2 linked regions of the Caenorhabditis elegans genome follow. The protein of the gene in region 1 interacts with the protein of each later gene in a pairwise test. Each region holds a gene or a part of one and is shown on either strand. Other genes may lie near its edges. The genes, in order: gln-3 and ugt-3.

Region 1 (5,405 bases):
CTCTGGGCTGTAATTTAAGCCACGTCCTAGCCGGGGACTGTGGCCGATAATCCAGTCGTGGATTGCTCCACTTCCCAATAGAGGCTGGGTGAACCTAGGGGGTGAGGCCGGACTTGAACTCGTGACCTCCAGACTGCTAGCGGCCACCACTACCGACTGAGCTATCTGCCCCCATCAGGATAAATTATAGACAGTAAGAAACAGTGAAATTTATTTTCAAAAAAACATTCTTATTTCAAAAAATATTTCAATCATTGTATCACTTCCCCAACTTTCAAATCTTTTATTTTTTCTATAACGTAAGCGAAAAAAATCAGGATAAATTATAGACAGTAAGAAACAGTGAAATTTATTTTCAAAAAAACATTCTTATTTCAAAAAATATTTCAATCATTGTATCACTTCCCCAACTTTCAAATCTTTTATTTTTTCTATAACGTAAGCGAAAAAAATCAGGATAAATTATAGACAGTAAGAAACAGTGAAATTTATTTTCAAAAAAACATTCTTATTTCAAAAAATATTTCAATCATTGTATCACTTCCCCAACTTTCAAATCTTTTATTTTTTCTATAACGTAAGCGAAAAAAATCAGGATAAATTATAGACAGTAAGAAACAGTGAAATTTATTTTCAAAAAAACATTCTTATTTCAAAAAATATTTCAATCATTGTATCACTTCCCCAACTTTCAAATCTTTTATTTTTTCTATAACGTAAGCGAAAAAAATCAGGATAAATTATAGACAGTAAGAAACAGTGAAATTTATTTTCAAAAAAACATTCTTATTTCAAAAATATTTCAATCATTGTATCACTTCCCCAACTTTCAAATCTTTTATTTTTTCTTTCATAGGTTCAATGTTCTTTTTTATCACTAAAGATTGAGAGTTGATAAGAAAATTCGTGGAATCACGTGAAAAACGCATGTGTCTCTCGTTTTTCAAATAAAGTGACCCCTCTGTTACAACGTAAGATTGGGTGTCCGTGCTACTCTGTGCACAAAGTGCAGATGGGCAGTCGGGCGGTGTAAGAAATATAGAATCTACAGATCTTTGAGAAAACTGACCAAAACGGCTATGTATTGAAAATAAAAGTTTTCTTTTTTTTTAAATTAATATTTTGAAACAGAAAAAAATTTTCAATGAAAATTCGAATTTATTTTTGAGTTTTTATGCTAAAAACTTGCAATTCTTGGAAGAATTCAATTTATTTTAAAATGTTATAGATAGAAACTGCAAATACTTTTCTTAAAGTTTACTAGAAGAAATGGAACGTTTGAAACAGCAAAAATTTGGAAAAAAAATGAAATTTGGTAAATGAAATTTAAAATTTTTTATATTTTTAAAAATCATAATTTCCCAGAAAAAAACCTTTACCGGACCAAAAATCAAACGCTATGCAAATTGGCGGGACCAAGTCCAAAGACCAAATGCACGTATGCATACACATATCTTATCTCCCCCGTTTTCTCTCTGCGTCTCTCCATTCTGAACACTCTCGTGTCTCTCCCACTATTATTGTCTTCCCATGTCATCGAAATCAACATAAATCTAGGTTTATCTAGAACCACGTGACCCAACGCCCCGCCCCGCCCATCAGTCTCAAAGAACTTTCACTCTGCTTTCCAAGACACTCACTTCGTATACACTTGCCTTATCACCGAGTACTCTGCCCCCCGCCTAAGCTCTCCTTTTTGTCACTATAAATATCATATCAATTTATTATAAAACAGTGTACACTAGTGTTTCTACCATCCATTCCTACTCTCCCAGACATGTCGCGTATGATTTTCAACGCTTTTTTCGCATTTTTCAACACCTTCTAATTACAGAAATGGCTCAATCACTCCGCAGTCAATTCGCCACCGACAAGCAGGTCCTGCAAAAGTTCCTGAACTTGGACCAAAAGGGCATGTACCAGGCCCTCTACATTTGGATTGACGGATCCGGCGAGAACATTCGTGCCAAGACCAGAACCTTCGATTTTGAGCCAACTGACCCAGAGAGTGAGTTTTGTTTTTTTGCAGAAATTCCAGAACATCTAGTTTAGATGCTTCTAGTTTAGTTTAGTTTAGATGTCATTGAAACGGCAATTGTTAAAAGTATGAATTTTCAATTAAGATTTTCGGATTCCACGTAGCAACTTTAACAAAATATTTCAAATTTTCGATGCAAGCCCCATATCTTGCTACCTTACAACAATTCCCTCCGATTTCCAGAGCTCCCAATTTGGAACTTTGACGGATCATCCACCGGTCAAGCCGAGGGAGCCGACTCCGACGTCTACCTGAAGCCAGTCGCCATCTACCCAGACCCATTTAGGCAGGGAAAGAACAAGTTGGTGATGTGCGAGACCTATGACAACAAGAAGAAGCCAACCGGTGAGTATTTGGAAGTTCGATGGTGACACCGAGAGAAGAGATAGGTAGAGATAAACGACGAAGGCGAGAGAGAGAGAGAGAGAGAGAGAGTGGGGGTCCAAGTGTCAGGTGGTCAGTGCCGCGTAGTCCTTGATTAACAATTGATTAGAACCAGTTATGGTATATTTTTCATAATGTGTGCTTTGATGCCTCCTAGATTAGACTACACATCCATCTTTGCCCCCCGTCTGCTAATCGGACGCCCTCGGAGGCTCATCTGTTGGGTCAACAGTGATGTACTATGTACAGAGGGATGGGGTGGTTGACCACGAGTTGATAAGACGGGCGGTTGATAAGTGAACTTATGAACTGGCCAAAGTTCCTTTTCAAGACGCAAAACAATGAGGGGCAGGATAGCTAGTGGTGGCCGCTAGCCATCTGGAGGTCACGAATTCAAGTTCGGCCCAGCCTCTATTGGGAAGTGGAGCAATCCACGACTGCATAATCGGCCATAGTCCCCGCCTAGGACGTGGTTTAAGTTATAGCCCAGTGGGAGCACTAAGTGTACCTGACTTCTAGATCCGCAGTACATACACTCAAAAAAATAAAACTGCGTGGTGTGTATTGCAGAAAACCTAATATTTAGGCTCCGCCTTTTTATCGTCCACCCACGGGGAAAAGGCGAAATTCGGGACCCAACCAATATCAGGCCGCCGACATCTCACGGACTCCGCGCGCCGCTATGTTTAACTCGCAGCGGGCGGAGACAGCTTGCCACGCCCACAACGAGTTAAACGCAGCGGCGCGCGGAACTCGTCAGATGTCGGCGGCCTAATATTGGTTTGGTCCCGAGTTTTGCCTTTTCCCCGTGAGGGGACGGTAAAAATGTGGGGCCGTTTATTATTTTGAGTGTAGCACAACGGATCGTCCTTTAATCCTTTTTTCTAAACTGTGAATATTCCAGCCACCAACTACCGCCAGCGATGCAAGGAGGTGATGGAGAAGGCCGCCGACCAGCACCCATGGTTCGGAATGGAGCAGGAGTACACCCTTCTCGACATTGACGGACATCCATTCGGATGGCCAAAGAACGGATTCCCAGGACCACAAGGACCATACTACTGTGGCGTCGGCGCCAACAAGGTCTACGGTCGCGACATCGTCGAGGCTCACTACCGCGCATGCCTCTACGCCGGAATCCAGATCTCGGGAACCAACGCCGAAGTGATGCCCGGACAATGGGAGTTCCAGGTCGGGCCATGCGAAGGAATCCAGATGGGAGATCAGTTGTGGGTGGCTCGCTACTTGCTGCAACGTGTCGCCGAGGAGTTTGGCGTGATCGCCTCGTTCGATTGTAAGCCGATCAAGGGAGACTGGAACGGAGCCGGATGTCACACCAACTTCTCCACTGATAAGATGAGAAATCCAGGAGGAATTGAGTGAGTTTTTAGGGCATCAAAAATCTGATTCGTGAGATAGTTGCCTAGTGCTTGAACATTTTCCGAGGAGTAGGTTTTCACGGCGGCCGACATTTTCTGAGTTTTGCCACTCACTATACTTAATCATAAATGTTACAATGAGTGACTAAACTAGTAAATTGTCGGCCGCCGTGAAAACCGGACTACGGACGCCCGATATGCCAGCCCTAGTGCTGAGGAACCTTGATGGATAACAATCCTTTTATGGCCTAAAATTTCTTGGGGGCTTTTGGTCTAGAAAATTCAAGTTTTGGGCCTAGCTTGTTCTTCAGGCCATACACACCGCGGGCTTCTATTAAAATTCGGCTTAGAAAAATCTTACCTAGTTTTCGAAAAACTATGACGTCATACTTACTATTTAATTTTTCAGCGAGATCATGTCCGCCATCAACAAGCTCTCCCTTGTCCACCCACAACACATTGCCTACTACGATCCACACGGTGGAAAAGACAACGAGCGTCGTTTGACCGGACTCCACGAGACCGCATCGATCGACAAGTTCTCCTACGGAGTCGCATCCCGTGCCTCATCCATTCGTATTCCACGCTCCACCGACGATGATGGATACGGATACTTCGAAGATCGCCGTCCATCATCCAACTGTGACCCGTACACCGTCACCGGAGCCCTCGTCAGAACTGTGTGTCTTGAGGGAGCCGAGCGTAAACTGTCGATGATGTATGTTCCAAGCCAGGCACCAAATATTACCAAGCATTAGAGTTCGGATAGTTTGAGTGTGATGATTCTTTTTTTTTTTGAATACTTATTAATCTTTTGTAAAGAACATTTACATTTTAATTGTACAAATAAAAGTTTCAAAATTTCAAAAAAAAATCTGATGAACCTATATCCGTATTTAAACAGGATATTAATTAAATTTAAAAAAATACCACAAAGCAATATCTTGTAATGTTGAAACAGTAAATCACATTTTTCAACTAAATTTTTGAAAATAGAATCCCACGTGGATCGACAAATTGAAATTAAAGGAGAGGCTGAGAAGAATATGCAAGTAGTGAAACATGATGAAAAAATTAACATGGAAGTTCGAAATTCTCAGTGTGATTCAATTCAAACTTCATATTACGTGTTTATCCACAGATCAGAAAAATCGCCATATCTGCCGCGCAAATGAACCCGCGGGAAGAGACAAAACTACTGTAGTTTTTAACCAATTTGTGTAGATTTACGAGCTATTGCGTCATCGTTGAATTTAATCAATTTTTAATTTTCAGGCGTTTTTCTAATTTTTTTGTGTTTTCTTTTAAGATTTATTCAAAAATTGATAAATTTCAATATAAAAATGTGTGAAACCCCTGAAAATTAAAAATTGCGGCTCAAAATTAAATTCAACGTCGGCGCAATTTTTTATTTATTTATTTTTATATGGAATAAATTCAAAAAAGATTTTGCAGAGTTTTTAAGAATTCCATTAAAATGTTTAATCAAAATTAAAAGAAAAAATGAGAAAAAAAATGCAGGTAGTAAAACATTTTTTTTATTCAATTCAAAATTTATCATAATAATTAAAATAAAAATTCGGCAATAATTTAAAAAAAGTGTG
Region 2 (4,360 bases), on another chromosome or scaffold:
GAAATCTTTGTGACTGGGTTTGCTTTTCCAACGCTAGCCGCAGTTGCACTTTGGTGTTCCCTTGTTGCTAGGGTATAACAACGAGTAAAGGAACTTCATTTTGAAAATCACCCCACTCCTTTCCCTTTGGTCTGAGTTCAGTTAGCCGACAATGTATTTATCTAGTGCCATCCACATCCGACATGGTTCGATGCACCTTTTTCTCTCTCATACCACGATGAAGGATTCGGAAAGTCTCCTGAAGGATGTTTATCATCGACATGTCCGCCACTATAATACTATATACATTTGGTTCCATCACTTCGAAAAGGACGACTTTTCTCTCGAAGACTCTGAGACCCCATAAATTGGATTTGGACACGTTGCAGAAAGCCATGGCAACGGATCCTTTCCAAACCTCCCGTGAGCTGTCAACCGCACTTCAATCCTATCAAACCATCATCGTACGGGGCTGGGAAGCTCTTGGAATGAAGAAAATTATGGGTCGATTCATACCTCACTCTTCGACACAAGCCAACCATGATTTTTGAGTGGATGATTCCATTTCACCCCTCACTCTCCATGGGGCCGATCGATGTTTGGGCCGACTCATCACTGGAACCGAGAAGTGGGTCCTCCATGATAAGAACCACACGCGTGCCCAGTGGTTTGTAGAAGGAGAAACCCCACAGGGTGCCGCCAAACCCGACCTTAACCCCAAAAACGTCATGCTCTCAGTGTGGTGGGGAGTGTACGGCCCCATCAACTGGGAACTGCTTCCTGGGGGCAAAATAGTTAATGGGGACCTTTAAGTTATCTAACCACAAAACCTAAGGAACATATTCAATCGTTCACCCCTGAAGGACGAGCAACTCTACTTTCAACAAAACAACGCTTATCCCTACGTCACGAAACAAGTATTGCAGGAACTGGTCAGGTATGAATGGATGATTTTCCTTCACCCACCGTATTCTTCAGACCATGCCCCATCTGCATACTGACAGTTTTCAGATATGACTCGTGATCTCCGGGAAAGAACCTTCAATACCCATGGAAGTGTCGAATTGGCACTCAAGCATTATTTCGACTCGCGCCTGGAAGGGTTCTGTGAGCAGGGCCTTCATAAGTTGCCCACACGTTGGCAGTACATTGCTGATAATAATAGCAAATAAATATTATTCTGTCGTTTCTCTTGCTCCGAGAAATAAACGATTGAAAAAGTCACAAAGACTTCCGGTTCAACCTAATATATAAACAAATAACTTTCGTTGTCGCGGTTACAATAATTCCAAGAATTGTAGAAACCCAATAACATAGGTAGAACTGTCATACTTCATACTGTCACAATTGATCAACAAATTCACAGAATAACAAAAAATTTGAAAAATTCCATGTATTAGACATCAGACAGGAACAATAATTGATAGTTTTGGATACGTGAAGCCAATGTTTTTGAAGTCTATTGGAGGCATAGATTTACCAGAGTAAAACTAGATTTTCATAATAAACTTATAAAAATTATCAAAGCAAATTTCAGGCAAATCTCTAAATTGACAAACATTTTTGGACACTTTCGAGATGAACTACTTACATGAATACATACTCTAATGCTGACTACACATTCCATTTCTTTATTTTTCTTACGTCTTTTGTTTCTTGTAATTTTTCATCGAGAACAGAGAACATAGAAATAGACACTCCAAGTAAAGAGAGATAATGTTAAAATGCAAGAGACGGTTTCAAATCGGGCGCTGATCATTTGAAAAGTTTGCAACTGAACTTAGTCTGAGTGGTATAAAATGCCTGAAAAAAATTAAGAGAATATGTTGAAGTCTAATTCTCGAACTCAAAATGAGGTACTTATTATTATTAGCATTTTTTCCCGTTGCTTTCGGGTTCAATTATCTTATTATTTCCCCAGTTTTTGGGTACAGTCATATGAAATTTATGGGAAGAATTGCAGACATCCTTGCTGATGCTGGACATAATGTGGTAAGGTTTACTTATTTAAATATTAAATTTCTTATAAGTTCGATTTTAGACTTTATTCCAACCAATAATTTATGATTACTATGCACACAAAAAAATTGTGAAGAATCCGAACATTGAAGTGATTAATTATGAAGTCGATGAAGAAGAAAAAGCTGCAGCTTCTGAAGCGAGTGTTTTCAAGTTTTTCTGGAAAGCAAAAGGATCTAAAAACCCAATCTCTTCTGCAAAAATTACATCAGAAAAACTTTACAAAGAGTTTGAGCATATTTGTAGAAGTAAGATTCATAGTTTTGTTTCAAAAATGCATTCATCAATTTTTAGAAATGCTTTTGGACAAGGAACTTCATCGTTGGATTCTATCGAAAAACTTTGACTCCCACATATCAGAGGCATTTGATTTTTGTGGTTTATGTAAGTAATAATTTAATTTACAATCAAAGTGAATAATCAATGTTAGATCTTGGAGACTTCTTGAAACTAAAATCACCAATCCCTCTCTATAGTGGAGTTCGATGTGGAGCAGCTTCATACGCTGTGGGTGAACCTATTCCATTGAATTACTTACCAACAGAGGGGTCTAATTATGGGAAGAAATCGAGCGCAATTGACCGATTAAGTGACATGCTTGGACTAACCGGTTATCACTTTCAATTCGGGATTTTGTTTGATAAACAATATGATCAAGCTTACCGATTAACTGGTGGAAATGTCCGAACTTGGCAAGAAATACTTCAAAGCTCCACGTTTTTCTTGACAAACTCCAATCCTTACTTATCATTTTCAACACCAACAATTTCAAAAGTGATTCAAATTGGAGGTTTCACTATTGAATCATTCAAAACAACTACACTCGATGAAGAATTTAACAAAATACTTTCGCTCAGAAACAACACCATTCTAGTGTCTTTTGGAACAGTTATTCAATCATCAGATATGCCAGATGATTTCAAAACTGGACTTATTGAAGCATTTCGCAGAATGCCAGATGCTACATTTATCTGGAAATATGAAGAGGATGATAAGACGTTGAAGAATAAACTTTCTGAAAACGTAGTTTTAAGCAAGTGGATTCCTCAGCCAGCTCTGTTAGCAGACAGTCGATTAGATTTGTTTGTGACTCATGGAGGTTTGGGAAGTACTATGGAAGTTGGATATGCAGGAGTGTCAAGTATTATGGTAAGTGAGATAATTCACTTCTGGTTTCACTATTTTCCTGTAAACTTTTGAAATATTTTTTCATCCAGATTCATGATTAGAATATAAAAATGTTTTACCACCCGCTAACCTTCTTGTATCAAACGTATATTTTCAGGTTCCTGTATTCAGTGATCAAGGAGTAAATGCAGAGATGTTAGCTCGCCATGGTGGTGCCATTGTCTATGACAAATTTGATCTTGTCGATAGCAAGAAACTAATGGAGACGATCCAGATGATTCTCAATAATTCTGATTACAGAAAGAATTCGAAACGTCTTTCTGATATTCTTCATAATCAACCAATGGATCCGAAGCAAGTACTTCTAAATCATTGCGAATTTGCGGCTCGATTTGCACAGGTTGATAATTTAGAACCATACGCCAATAAATACAACTTTATCGAATTTTATTGTCTTGACAGTCTAGCATTGGTTGTTTGTACAATTTCTGTTGTAGCATTAGTGATGTTTAAGATCTTAAGTTTTGTTGTCAATAGCGTAATCGAAAAATTGAAATTAAAAAAAGAATAAATAAATAATTTTTTTCCAATATTCACTAGTCAGTAGAAAGGGCATTATCAGTGCATTTATGCATAGAACAGTCCCGTGGAATTGTTCCTTTTGTTTGTCAACGAAATTTTGAACAGTCTGTAGTCCATTGGTTAGTTTGCAGTTGATACCCCTAAAAAAGTAAGTTATCAAAATGAAGAGAAATCGAAGCTGATAATATTTTATGTACAGGTACAGAAGGTAAACCAATACACTCTCTTCTTGTTTGCCATGCTTCAAATTGTACTTTTTTTGTTTATTTCAACTCTATTCGGTAATGCATATTCTTATAAATTTCTAGTCATTTCACCGGTTTATGGATTCAGTCATATGAAATATATGGCAGAATTAGCAAATCATTTGGCAAGAGCTGGAAATGATGTGGTACGTTTTTTTATTCAAAAAGTACTCAAGATTTCAAACGTGGCGTTACTTTTTGTTCTTCGAATAACGTCTGCAATTCTACTGGGACTTTTTGAAAAATTATTGTTAAGGTATCAATCTGTACAAAAAAGTGTGAAAATTATTTCTAGTTTAGTGGAGAAGCTGTATGTTTCAAACAATTTTATATGTAAATGATTTTCATATCCGTTTCTAATACAGGCTTCCAATTTTAACTATTCTTGCCAGAGCTCATACGCTTTT

The links.
Region 2: the proteins of gln-3 (region 1) and ugt-3 interact in a two-hybrid assay, tested with the Caenorhabditis elegans proteins (one large-scale study listed by BioGRID).

Annotation. Positions count from the first base shown.
Region 1 is NC_003282.8:16,167,051-16,172,455, reverse strand, and holds gln-3 (Glutamine synthetase), read left to right. Parts: upstream 1-1,777; coding exon 1,778-1,784; intron 1,785-1,834; coding exon 1,835-2,008; intron 2,009-2,025; exon of another isoform or gene 2,026-2,046; intron 2,047-2,221; coding exon 2,222-2,383; intron 2,384-3,326; coding exon 3,327-3,801; intron 3,802-4,210; coding exon 4,211-4,559; 3' UTR 4,560-4,675; downstream 4,676-5,405.
Region 2 is NC_003283.11:12,797,664-12,802,023, reverse strand, and holds ugt-3 (glucuronosyltransferase), read left to right. Parts: upstream 1-1,752; 5' UTR 1,753-1,830; coding exon 1,831-1,971; intron 1,972-2,020; coding exon 2,021-2,246; intron 2,247-2,292; coding exon 2,293-2,382; intron 2,383-2,428; coding exon 2,429-3,147; intron 3,148-3,283; coding exon 3,284-3,697; 3' UTR 3,698-3,716; downstream 3,717-4,360. Other genes in the region: ugt-6 (UDP-glucuronosyltransferase), read left to right, coding at 3,947-4,099.